2 linked regions of the Schizosaccharomyces pombe genome follow. The protein of the gene in region 2 interacts with the protein of the main gene of each other region in a pairwise test. Each region holds a gene or a part of one and is shown on either strand. Other genes may lie near its edges.

The links.
Region 1: the proteins of rbm10 (region 2) and snx12 interact in a two-hybrid assay, tested with the Schizosaccharomyces pombe proteins (one large-scale study listed by BioGRID).

What each region holds. Positions count from the first base shown.
Region 1 is NC_003421.2:872,028-878,555, forward strand, and holds snx12 (sorting nexin Snx12), read left to right. Parts: upstream 1-2,063; 5' UTR 2,064-2,580; coding exon 2,581-5,613; 3' UTR 5,614-5,776; downstream 5,777-6,528. Other genes in the region: U3 snoRNP-associated protein Utp13, read left to right, coding at 1-44; SPOM_SPCC16A11.03C (uncharacterized protein), read right to left, coding at 321-1,614, 1,923-2,029; U4/U6 x U5 tri-snRNP complex subunit Dim1, read right to left, coding at 5,912-6,127, 6,181-6,291, 6,375-6,415, 6,497-6,522.
Region 2 is NC_003424.3:1,512,123-1,516,474, forward strand, and holds rbm10 (RNA-binding protein), read right to left. Parts: upstream 2,613-4,352; 5' UTR 2,507-2,612; coding exon 2,249-2,506; intron 2,195-2,248; coding exon 1,964-2,194; intron 1,893-1,963; coding exon 1,287-1,892; intron 1,245-1,286; coding exon 642-1,244; 3' UTR 561-641; downstream 1-560. Other genes in the region: rps2202 (40S ribosomal protein uS8), read right to left, coding at 1-67; ssz1 (putative heat shock protein Pdr13), read right to left, coding at 2,967-4,352.

The sequences.
Region 1 (6,528 bases), on a different chromosome or scaffold from region 2:
ACGATCTCATTGAGGATTCCTATATAGTGGATTATGTTATTTAAAAAAATCTCTTCCTAATTCCCAATTCTGGAATGAAGACTCTTAATTTAAAAATGACCTGTTAAATTTGGGTTTTTTTTACTTGGTTAAAATAATGGATATTTGGTTGTGTATAATTTACTGGATCACTTAATAAAATGTTAGAATCCTTTGAATAATAATTTGTTTAGTGGGTAACTGAAAGAATGATATTTATCCTCATATGTATTTTTTTTTTGTGGAAAAATGAATTACGAGTGATGGAGAAAAGCCGATTTGCAAAAAAAGATGTAATAACGTCAGATTCCTTCAAAGTTGAGAAAGCCGGACATTAAAAGAATCCTATAATACTTCTTCTTAGTAATTTCGTTGGTCCAATTCCATGCACTAGTGAGCCGACCATCAATACAACTTCCACCATCAGATCCCTGACCATTAAAACCATGACGAAAAAAGTCTAACAAAATTGTTTTTTGAAGTCCATTGACGCTTCCATATTCGTTTTCGATATACTGAACCAAGTATGGATCACGTAAAAATTCTAGTTGCTGTAAAACTTTGACCAATGGCGCTAATATGTGAGGTACTTGGCGATATTTGTCAATAAACATCAGGGCATTAGGAACATCCCTATCACCTAAGTGTATTACAGAGCTTCCCATCCAAGGGATTTCTTGTTGCTTCTGAACGGATGATAGAATCCTGGTAACTGTAGATCGAACTAATGGACAAAGCTGAACACGATTTAAACCTTGGCCAGTGTCACTAATGAAGTACCTAGAATGTTTATCGAGTAAAGAAGCGTCGCTCTCTAACCATAAAAGAAACATTTGGTCCATCATACAGGACCAAAACACTAAACTCTGATCAACATAGAAAAATTGAGTTTTATGGTCGTGATTTAATTTGGCACCAGTCATATATCCAATCTTTAAACTACCATTTTTAGTGTCGTGTGGATTAAAAAATTTATGTAAATAGGCACGCATCTTTTCCACAGGATTTCGATTAGCTAAAAGGAAAGCTTCATGATCAGCTAAAGAAGCGAAGCAGTCCGTAAGCACTTTCTGTAATTTTTCATCTTTTCCTGGATTATACTTTTTCAAAAGAGTTTCTGAAGCTTCTTCCCGTTCTTTTAACAGTTCTGCTTTGGCATTGGCATTACTTTGAGGATCGCTCTGTTTTAAAAGATTGTTTAAAAGCTGTTTCTCTTCAAGCAGACCCAAAAGTTTGTGCTTTTCCAAAACATTGTATACAGTTTTTATGGGTGATACGAAATCAAAGCCAAGTTGACTACGAACATCTGGAATTAAACTGTCTTGGCACATATACATAACAGCACCATATGTTGCACGCATTTTCTCGGGATTCATAATTTTGTATCTCCTTCCAATTTCAAAAACGGTTTGAAAAAACCTAGCATTTGATTTGTGGTCTCTTCCAATTAGTAAATCACGTCCTGCTTTAATATCCATTGCAGTGACAAGTCCCATCACTATACTGCACATTTCGTTCAAGTATTTTACCATCAGTTTGGTCCTGGTGGTATAAGAGATAATGTCGACATGGCCCGTATAATCAATTACTTCAAGTCTATAATTTCATTGTTAGTTTTGGTCGATCCACCAAAAACAGATACGATCGTATAATTTTATGTCCCGAGAAACGGGAAAGTGTTCAATAATAATTAAATAATGTAACAGTTCATATACAAGAGAAATAATTTATGCGAACAGTTCTTGTAAAAGTTTCACATAATCGCGCACAATCAAACACTTTGGAAATAACTATTAGAAAAATATTTCTTTATTGGTAATATTTTAAAATAAGGAACCCTTGAACATTCCACATTTCAAACGGGACTCGGCCAACAGGCATTTCCATAAGATGGATTTACTTACGCTGCTTCTAACAAGCTCAAAATTTTTCGTTCCTCATCACTTAATCTTACAGGGACATATTTTGATTTTTCTACCCAACTCTGGTTAAACAATTGAGCTATTGACATTTTGGTGTTGGTCAAGTACTTTCCTAACTTTGCTAACCAATTCTAAACACTTGTTTTGATAAATTCTGACTACAACAGCTCCATTGTCAAGCTTTCATAAAGATTGAATATTTAAGGAAGTAAAGTATTTAATTCCTTGCTATAAATTACATCTTTGGACGATTGATTTCAGTTATTGTACGATAAAATATAAACCAAAGTTTTGAGGTGAAAAGTGGCTATTTCGACTAATTAGTCAACTTGGCTGTTTATTTGGGAGTATCTTGAATAATTGCTCAATTTTCAATAAGTCTCTCTTTTTTTCGTCATTCTGATTACAAAATCTCACGTTTAGGATTTTTTGTGCACTGATCTTTGCTTACCATTTTCCGGTAGTAGAAGATACTTAATTTACATTTTTCTAACAAGGAAGAATAATTATATAAAAAAATTTAAATTATCGTGCACTTTGTTTGCAAAAAAGAACGACTGCCTCAAAATTCTGAAATGTCATTTTTCCAACTAGAAAATCCATAGATAGAAGGACTTGGCTCTTACCATTATAGGACCAAATGTACCAGCAGCATATCTTTTACTTTATCACTGGAGGTATCTTCATCTTATGGATACTTGCTCATAGTTTCTTTGTCAAAATTATCTATTTATGGGCTTCTGGTTGTTTGTTGTGGTACTGTTTGGAGACGAGAACGTTTGAAAATAAAAATAATCTTGGAACATCTGAGCCATTTCTTGTTAACCCAGCTATATTCCAAAAACGAGCGCGTCAATTGGCACTTTCCAAACTTCTTCTTCGTCAGCCATTATATCCAGGAATACCTGAAATTTCTGAAGAGATAGAATCCATTATTTCACATTTTATGCAAAAATATATTAAGGTATGGTCTTATCAAATTATTCCCGAACCGACAATTTCAAACAGTATAGAATCCCATTTGCGAAAATGTCTTATGGTGTTATTAAGTCGAGTTGATGAAATTGATCTTGCTGATGTTTTGGTTAAAACAGTTCTACCACTGATTACAAAACATTTAAGATTATTCGTTGAAGCAGAACAGCTTGTTGTAGGTAATAAGGCAGTATCCTTTACTGACCATTCTGAACTGTCTCGTGAAGTTGCGGCGAAATATGATCATGGGAGATTGCATGAAGCAGTACTTCTTTCTGGAAATCCCATGGTAGCTCAGAAGAGATATTTACGAAATTGGACGACACAAGTTTTGTCTATTATTCTACCGAATTATTATGAAACCAGCCCTCTTGTACTTTCGCTCGTTACAGAGGTTATTATTAATACTACATTATTACCGCTAGTATCTTATATTTCAGATCCTGATTTTTTCAACTATTTAATTATTCAGGCTAGCGGTAGTATAATTCAGCGTCGGCGAAAGATTCGTCGTCTGAAACGTGCCATTCGCAAGCAATCTAATCACTTTCAGGTTGGAGCACGTCGTCTCCGATTAAAAGATAGTCAACACTCTTTTGAACAATATATTCATGAAATTAAAAAAATCTCTAATATTTCAGATGCCCGAAGATTACGTTCTGAACTAATGGTCCAAAGGCGTCAACTTGAACAGACCGAAGCATTTGATTTTGAATTTAAACAATATAGGGAGCGATTACAGATAGCTATAATTACTGCTGAGAAAAGGATTTCCTTACTTTCTGGAACTCCATTTCAGCATAAAGAAGCGGTGCTATTTGAACAAGTGCAATCACTACTTCAAATCCTATCTGACTCGGCGGCGGTTTCCTGTTTTCTCGAATTTATGGAGAGAAAGAACAGATCTCGCTATTTGCATTTTTGGCTTGTAGTTGAAGGCCTAAAAGAATCACAGGATGATCCATTGAATGCGCATATGATTGCGCCGTTTTCCGATATCGTTTCTGACCATACAGACTTTACAGCCATTGTCAAATCATACTTTGAAAGCGTCGATAACCCACTGGACATCCCAAAGCCTCTCACTAATACAATTAATAAATTCGTTAACCAAAGTAAAGATAACTTAAACCCTGATCTATGGGTAGAGGCTAGGAATGCAATGCTTATGGCTCAAGAGCATGTGTTCGATATCATGCAGAACAGTGATTATTCTGAATTCGTTAACAGCGAGATCTATTACAGGTTCCTAGCCCAAGATGTAGTATCTGATCATAAGTCTACCAATTCTTCTGCCACGTTCAGTAGATTAGAAGAGTTGGGCGAGAACATACCAGCGATATCAAAACAACCTTCATATCTTAGTATTTCTTCGTCGTCAAAATCCATCAATTCATCTCCTTCTCCCTCTATTCAGTTATCTGTCTCTTCGTCCATTTCTCGGGATAAAAACCTCTCTCCTTTGGATTTAGAATTGGATGATCCTACCTATAGTGATGAAGAAGAAGTTTTATTTGCTCCACCAGGTGATCTCCAACTTTCTGAAAGTATCGATGAATTAAACAATAACATCGAGGAGTTGAAAGCTCAATTAAACGCTATCAACACTCTTATAAAGAAGGCTGAGCTGGTTGCTGACCAAAAGCAATTGAAAAGCCTTACTAAAAACCATCAAGAGATTGAAAAAGCAATTCACCGCAAAGAACGTCAACGAGATCAGTATATGTCGCAAGAAGAAGACAGTAAACTCTTTAATCGCTCTCGGGTGTCTATTGATTCATTTAAAATTAGCAAAGAGGAGAACACCCCAGACTTTGCTGTTTACACCATACGCATTGAACGACTTGAAAATGGACATGTCCGTTCCGGATGGATGGTGGCTAGACGGTATCGAGAGTTTGCAGAGTTGCATAAGCAGCTAAAGCAAACATACCCTGGAGTCAGATCTTTAAAATTTCCTCAAAAATCGATCATCACCTCTTTAAACAAAAATGTTTTGGAATATCGAAGGGGTGCTTTAGAAGAATATCTTCAATCATTATTCAGAATGCCAGAGGTTTGTGACAGCAAAATGTTGAGGATGTTTTTGTCACAACAAAATATCACAGCACCACAAATGTTTAATCCTAAAGAAGTTGGCAAAAAATGGAAGCAGCTTTTAGAAGTCTTAGGGTTTGAAGTTAATAATTCTTTCAACGCATCCAACGTTAACACTAACTCGTCATTCTCAGGTCCCATCTCGGAATTTTTAGTCGAATTGTTTTCTCCAAATGACGATGCAAAGCAGCAATGGTTACCGAAAAAAACTTATATATCGATATTGGAACAACTTTTTGGCGGAGCTTTGGAAAAGCGTATACGACTACAACTGTTTCAGTTGTTTACGCCTGAGAAGATTTATAGGAAGTTACGCGAGTTTAGACGAGGACTTGAAGGTAAATCTAATCATGATCACTCCAAAGACCGCCGTCATTCACGGGCGCGAAAGCCAGCTTATGCTGATAGGAATCAATTGAAAGCAGAAGCAGGGATTTTGCTTGCTTCCATGTTTCCCGGCTATACACCTGATATTGCTGTGAAAAGAATATTTCGTATTCTCCAAAACCAATCTCTAAACGCTCATGTTATATACACCCTTCTTGACGAGATTTTGCTGGCTTTAAAGAAACACGCTAGATCAACTAATAAGGCAACTTGAGTGTCACTTTTTTACCTCTCTTGTTAAATCATAGCAAGAGTAATCATGTTCATGCTTTTCTTTAATCATATAATGTAATTTCTTCATAGGATTTGATAATACTTTATTACAATTCATCCACTAGATAATTTCAAATCCTGTATTGTTACTGACTTTAAAAGAAGGGTTATACCATTTGAAGTACAAATTATGCGTAAAAATTAAAGCAAAAAGACTTTTTCATTTTAGCCAAAAACTATCAAATTACTATGATTTTTCTATCCCCTCTCCATTTTCTTGCATAAGCAAATGGTGGCTTCTAGTAGCGATGTCGGGTAGAGTAATCTTTTGGAGAAATAACAAGACCTTTACCTTTTCTAGCACCACGAAAAATAGTTTCTATAATATCGATCATCTCTTGTTTATCTTCTAACGGCCAGTTGATTTTGTTATTGTTACCAGTACCTAAGTCAATCATCATGTGTTTGTTTCGATAAAAAAACATTATTGTAGTTCTGTCATAAAGCTCGTACATCTAGATGGTAATAAGGTTAGCAACATGACTTTCCAACTAAGACTTAGACTTACCTTGTTGAAGTCAGGAACTTCGTCAATGTCCACTAAATATATGACAGCCATGTTGACGACCTTTTCAGCAATTCTGTATAGGACTTCATCTTGTTTTATACATTCTTCATCCTATTCCGTTACGCGTTAGTAAATTAATCCGCCTACAATATTAAATAGACTTAATCCAAGTAGATATCGACATTAGAACATACATGATCTCTACCAAATCGAATGACAACCAAGCGCTCTTGTTCTATTTATAAAAAAAAAGGTTAATAAGCTGATTCGAAGTTGTGAAACGAGAAACATTCTACGTTTCTTAAAGTTCGCGTACCTGATAAAATTGCTTGATCAACGTGCCTATAA
Region 2 (4,352 bases):
GACGTCCACGGCGCTCGGCGTTGACGATATTGTTTAAACAATCAGCGAGAACAGATTGACGAACCATTTTGTGTTTCTGACGAGAAGCGCGTTAGTTTTCTTGAGTGTCTTGTTTAAAGATTTCAAGAAAAAAAGGTTCCACCCATTGGGTTCAAGTATTCACTGAAGAATAAATGTACCAATAGACTTCCGCTCACATCTTGTAATATTTAATATTTCATACCTGTTTTGGACTACTTTTACTTTATAAACTGTAGGTGGTAAAAACAGTTTGCAATTTCGCGAAATGCTTGTTTTGTATCTACAGGAGCAGTCACATAAAAACCCTACCCTATTTAACTCAGTACTGATTTGATTGACTTTGGGTAGTTTCAAAATAATAGAAACTTTAGAAATGTAACCTGAAGGGCATATACGGTTAAAAATAAAGTGTTTCTCTTAAACTGTACGGAATTCCAATGTTTTAATATACCAAGGGGAAATTACTTTATATAGAATATTAGACGTTTAGTATTGAATTGCCATACTTTACAAAATTTGTATTTCCTCAAACACAATAAGCATAAGTAGGAGACATAAAATCATGGTATTAAATTACTGTAATATTAAGAGATTTTCGACGCAAATAAAAAAATTCCCTATTATAAATTATTGTTTTTATCATTTTGAAAATACAAAGACCTTGCTCGGTCTTTCACTCTGTCAACCGGAGTCATGTTGATCTGTATTTTACTCCCCTTGTTGCCAAGTCCAACACCGGGCAAATACATCGTCGGTTGAATAGCTTCCTTGATCCCATTTTCGTTAGTACCAAGACCACTTCCTTTGTTCCATCCCATAGAATTAAGCATTTTCATGCTAACATTAGAGGTGGAGTGAAAGCTTGAGCCCTGAGATGACTTTTTAGCCTCAACTATTGTATCACTAGAAGCAGCAGGTACTATTCGACGTTCAGTAGCGCGATCTCTGTAATCAACAGACTCAGTTTGACGAACTCGGTGCATCAAAAGCTCTGCAGAAGAGACAAGTTCGTGGTTTTTCAGATTATTGTTGTGCATAATAGACTGAGTAATATGTTTTACTACATGGCCCCAACTCTGAAACTTTCGCTCACACAAAACGCATATTAAAGCCGATTTCCACACAAAGTGTAAAAGCAACTTTTCTTCTTCTTCAGAGAGATCAGGGATATTGTCTTTTAATTCCTTCTGCGCATCATTCCATCTTTGCAATGAAGTGGCAACCTATACATATCAGCAGGTTTATGCTAACATTAAGACACATACCTTCTTAGAAGCAGGTACATCTATGTAATTGGATGATCGTGCACGCTTTTCTTTTTTTGGTTTCTTATTTACTTCAATTGGTTTAAACTGATCTGTATCAATGCCTTCAGGAACATAGATCGAGCAATATAGTTCTGGGTCCCAATAAACGAGATAACCAGTTTTTGTAGGAAATTGCCATCTTGCAGATTCCGTATATGCAGGAATTAAAACTCCATCATGAATGTAATCAACAGACACTTTCCTAGAAGCTAACGTGAAGCCCTTTCCCGGGTACGTGCGGGCTTTCATAAGTGCTTTCGCTGACTCATCTACATCTTTAAATTCTAGTATGGCATAACCACAAAACGCATCATTAAACTTATATCGAATCATGAAAACCCTTTGGACGTCAATTTCTAATTTGGAAAGTCCCTTCCATAACGTTTCTTCAGAAAGTGAACGGTCAAGGTTTCGTAATATAAGGTATACTGAGGGTACATCACTTACATCCATGTCGCCATTCCGTTTACTGATTTTATGATTTCCAATAGCAATCGAAGCCTGATTCCTTGGCACACGACATTTGAAGCAAGACTCTCTATATGAATAATTTAGAATATCACACTACTCCAACAGTTAGTAAGTAAAAAAAAATTATATGTGAAAAAACAATATTAATTGTTAAAATTGTTTACATTTTGGCAACACCAACCCTCAATCTGCTCTCTGGCCGCACGTGAAAAACGTACAGACACATCAATACCGTCGATGACCAGCGTTGGAAAATTGGCTTCCATCCAATCCTTAGAATCCTGTAAGGAAACAAATTTAGCGAAGGCAAAACAGCGAGATTTTTGTGTTTCTTTCTCTCTTATTAGTGTAACAGTAGAAACTTTAGCACCCGTGGCGTACAACGCAAGTTCAATCTTCACGCATTTTTGTTAGTATTTCCTTCAATAAAAATTAAGTCTGAATCACACATGTTCTTCTAATATTTCCGGAGTCAACCCTTGAAGAATGATTTCTTGATTAGGAACACCGATGTGTCTAGAAAGGGGTGAGTTCCTGTCCCTTCCATAATTTCCTTTCGGACGATATGAATCGAGTAAACGAGGGTTGTCACTACTAATATTTACATCGTAATCTCTAGATGCACAATTGTCCGATATATTACTGCTGGTCGAACCTTTCTCTTCAAAAATTTCTTCAAAACCATTTTCTGAATAATAATCCTTCATCATGTCCACAACGAGTTTTAATTATTTAAAATGGTCTGTCTTATAACTAAACGAAAACTATTCCAACCATCTCAAACATAATTTGTTTGTATTAGGTGAATGTGTCGTCGTATACTTATAAAATTATCACCACCAACATTTCCTTGCAGCAACATCATATCATTCTCTCAATATAAATCACGAAGTGGAAGTTGAATAAAATTATTGAAGTATAGTACATGAAATTTACTTTCAGTAAGTCAATTTAAACTGTCAGTTTTTGAAAAATATTGCTACGTCACATGAATGAAAAAATCAAACATTTTATATGCATAAATGGCCGTGTAATTTAATTTTAATTTAATACAGTCTACCAGCTATTCTAGCTTTCCTTTCCTAAACCCTCTTCTCAACAGATCAGACATAGAAAAAAAACTATGACATAGATAAATTTTTATGATTTTTTATAGCCAAGCCAAAATTATGCAGTAGATCCACGAACGTTAGTTCCCTTGCCATCCTTAGGACGTGCACTTGCCGTTAATTTCCCTTCAGCATCTATTTGAAGAACCAGCTCGATCTTGGCATTAGGAGAAACATCAGGAAGAGTAATGGTGGCAATCAAAGTCTTGGGTATAGCGATACGCTCTTTAATCTCCTCTGGCTCCTCTTCTTCATCATCAGAAAATGCCTCTTCCTCATCAATAGGCTCCGGTTCAACTTTGGTAACCTTTACTGAACGCTCAGCTTCATAAATTGGAATAAAGGCAGCACCCTCTTTAGGAGCAATCACCTCAACAGTCTTTCGAGCAGGCAAAGCAGTCTCGATGTCGAAAATAGTAACAAAGTTCTCACCTTCGTTGATACCGATAGGAGCAGTAAGGTGAGGAACATCAACCACTTGTGCATCAGTAGAAGCAGCAATGTCAGCAGCATCAAAGTGCCCAATCAAAGAAGCTTGAACACCGGAACCGATCGCGGTAAGTTCAGAAGGGTCTAATTGCAAAGGAGTAACTGAACTAGAGGAACGGATGATAGTTTGTTCAGGGAAAATGGATTCCATCAAGGAAGTTAATTTGGGAGTATTGGAGGCACCACCAGCTAAAATAACCTCAGAAATATCAAAAGGCTCCATGTTTGCCTTTTCAACAGCTTCGGTTACAAGATCGGCCATGCGATTTAAAGTGGCGCTTGCTGCAAGGTCATAACGAAGGCGGTTAATGCTACTATGGAAGTCGATGCCGTCGGCCAAAGAGTCTACAGCAGCAGAAGCGGTAGTACCATTGCTAAGTACACGCTTAGTGATCTCACATTGAGCACGGAGCTTAGCAAGGGAACGGGCATTTTTGCGAGGATCAATTCCATTCTTCTTTTCAAACTCCTTGGCAAAGAAATTAACCAACACATCAGTTAATTGCTCACCTCCCAAATTCTCATCATGAACTGAAGCCAAAATGGTCATTAGACCACCCTTAACAGATACAACAGAGACCTCAGAGCGAGTGGCACCAAAGTTAGCGACCACAACAGTTTTGTCGATCAGAACCTCTTCGGAATACATTAAGGCCAAAATAACAGCAGCCGGGTCATGAATCAACTGCAAAACTGGAAGTCCAGCTTCATTGGCAGCAGATTCCAGAGCCTTACGTTGAGCGTCAGTAAAATAGACAGGAACAGACATAACACATCCGTTGACCTTTGTACCCAAAAAGTCCTCAGCAGACTCAGTAAGACGGCGTAAGTGACGGACACTAGCCTCATGAGCAGTCAAAATCTTTTCTTTAGGATCAGATTCTTCGTCCTCTTGAACAGTGATCTTGAAACCAATTTGACCCTCCACATTCACGGGATTGGCAGAATAATGACA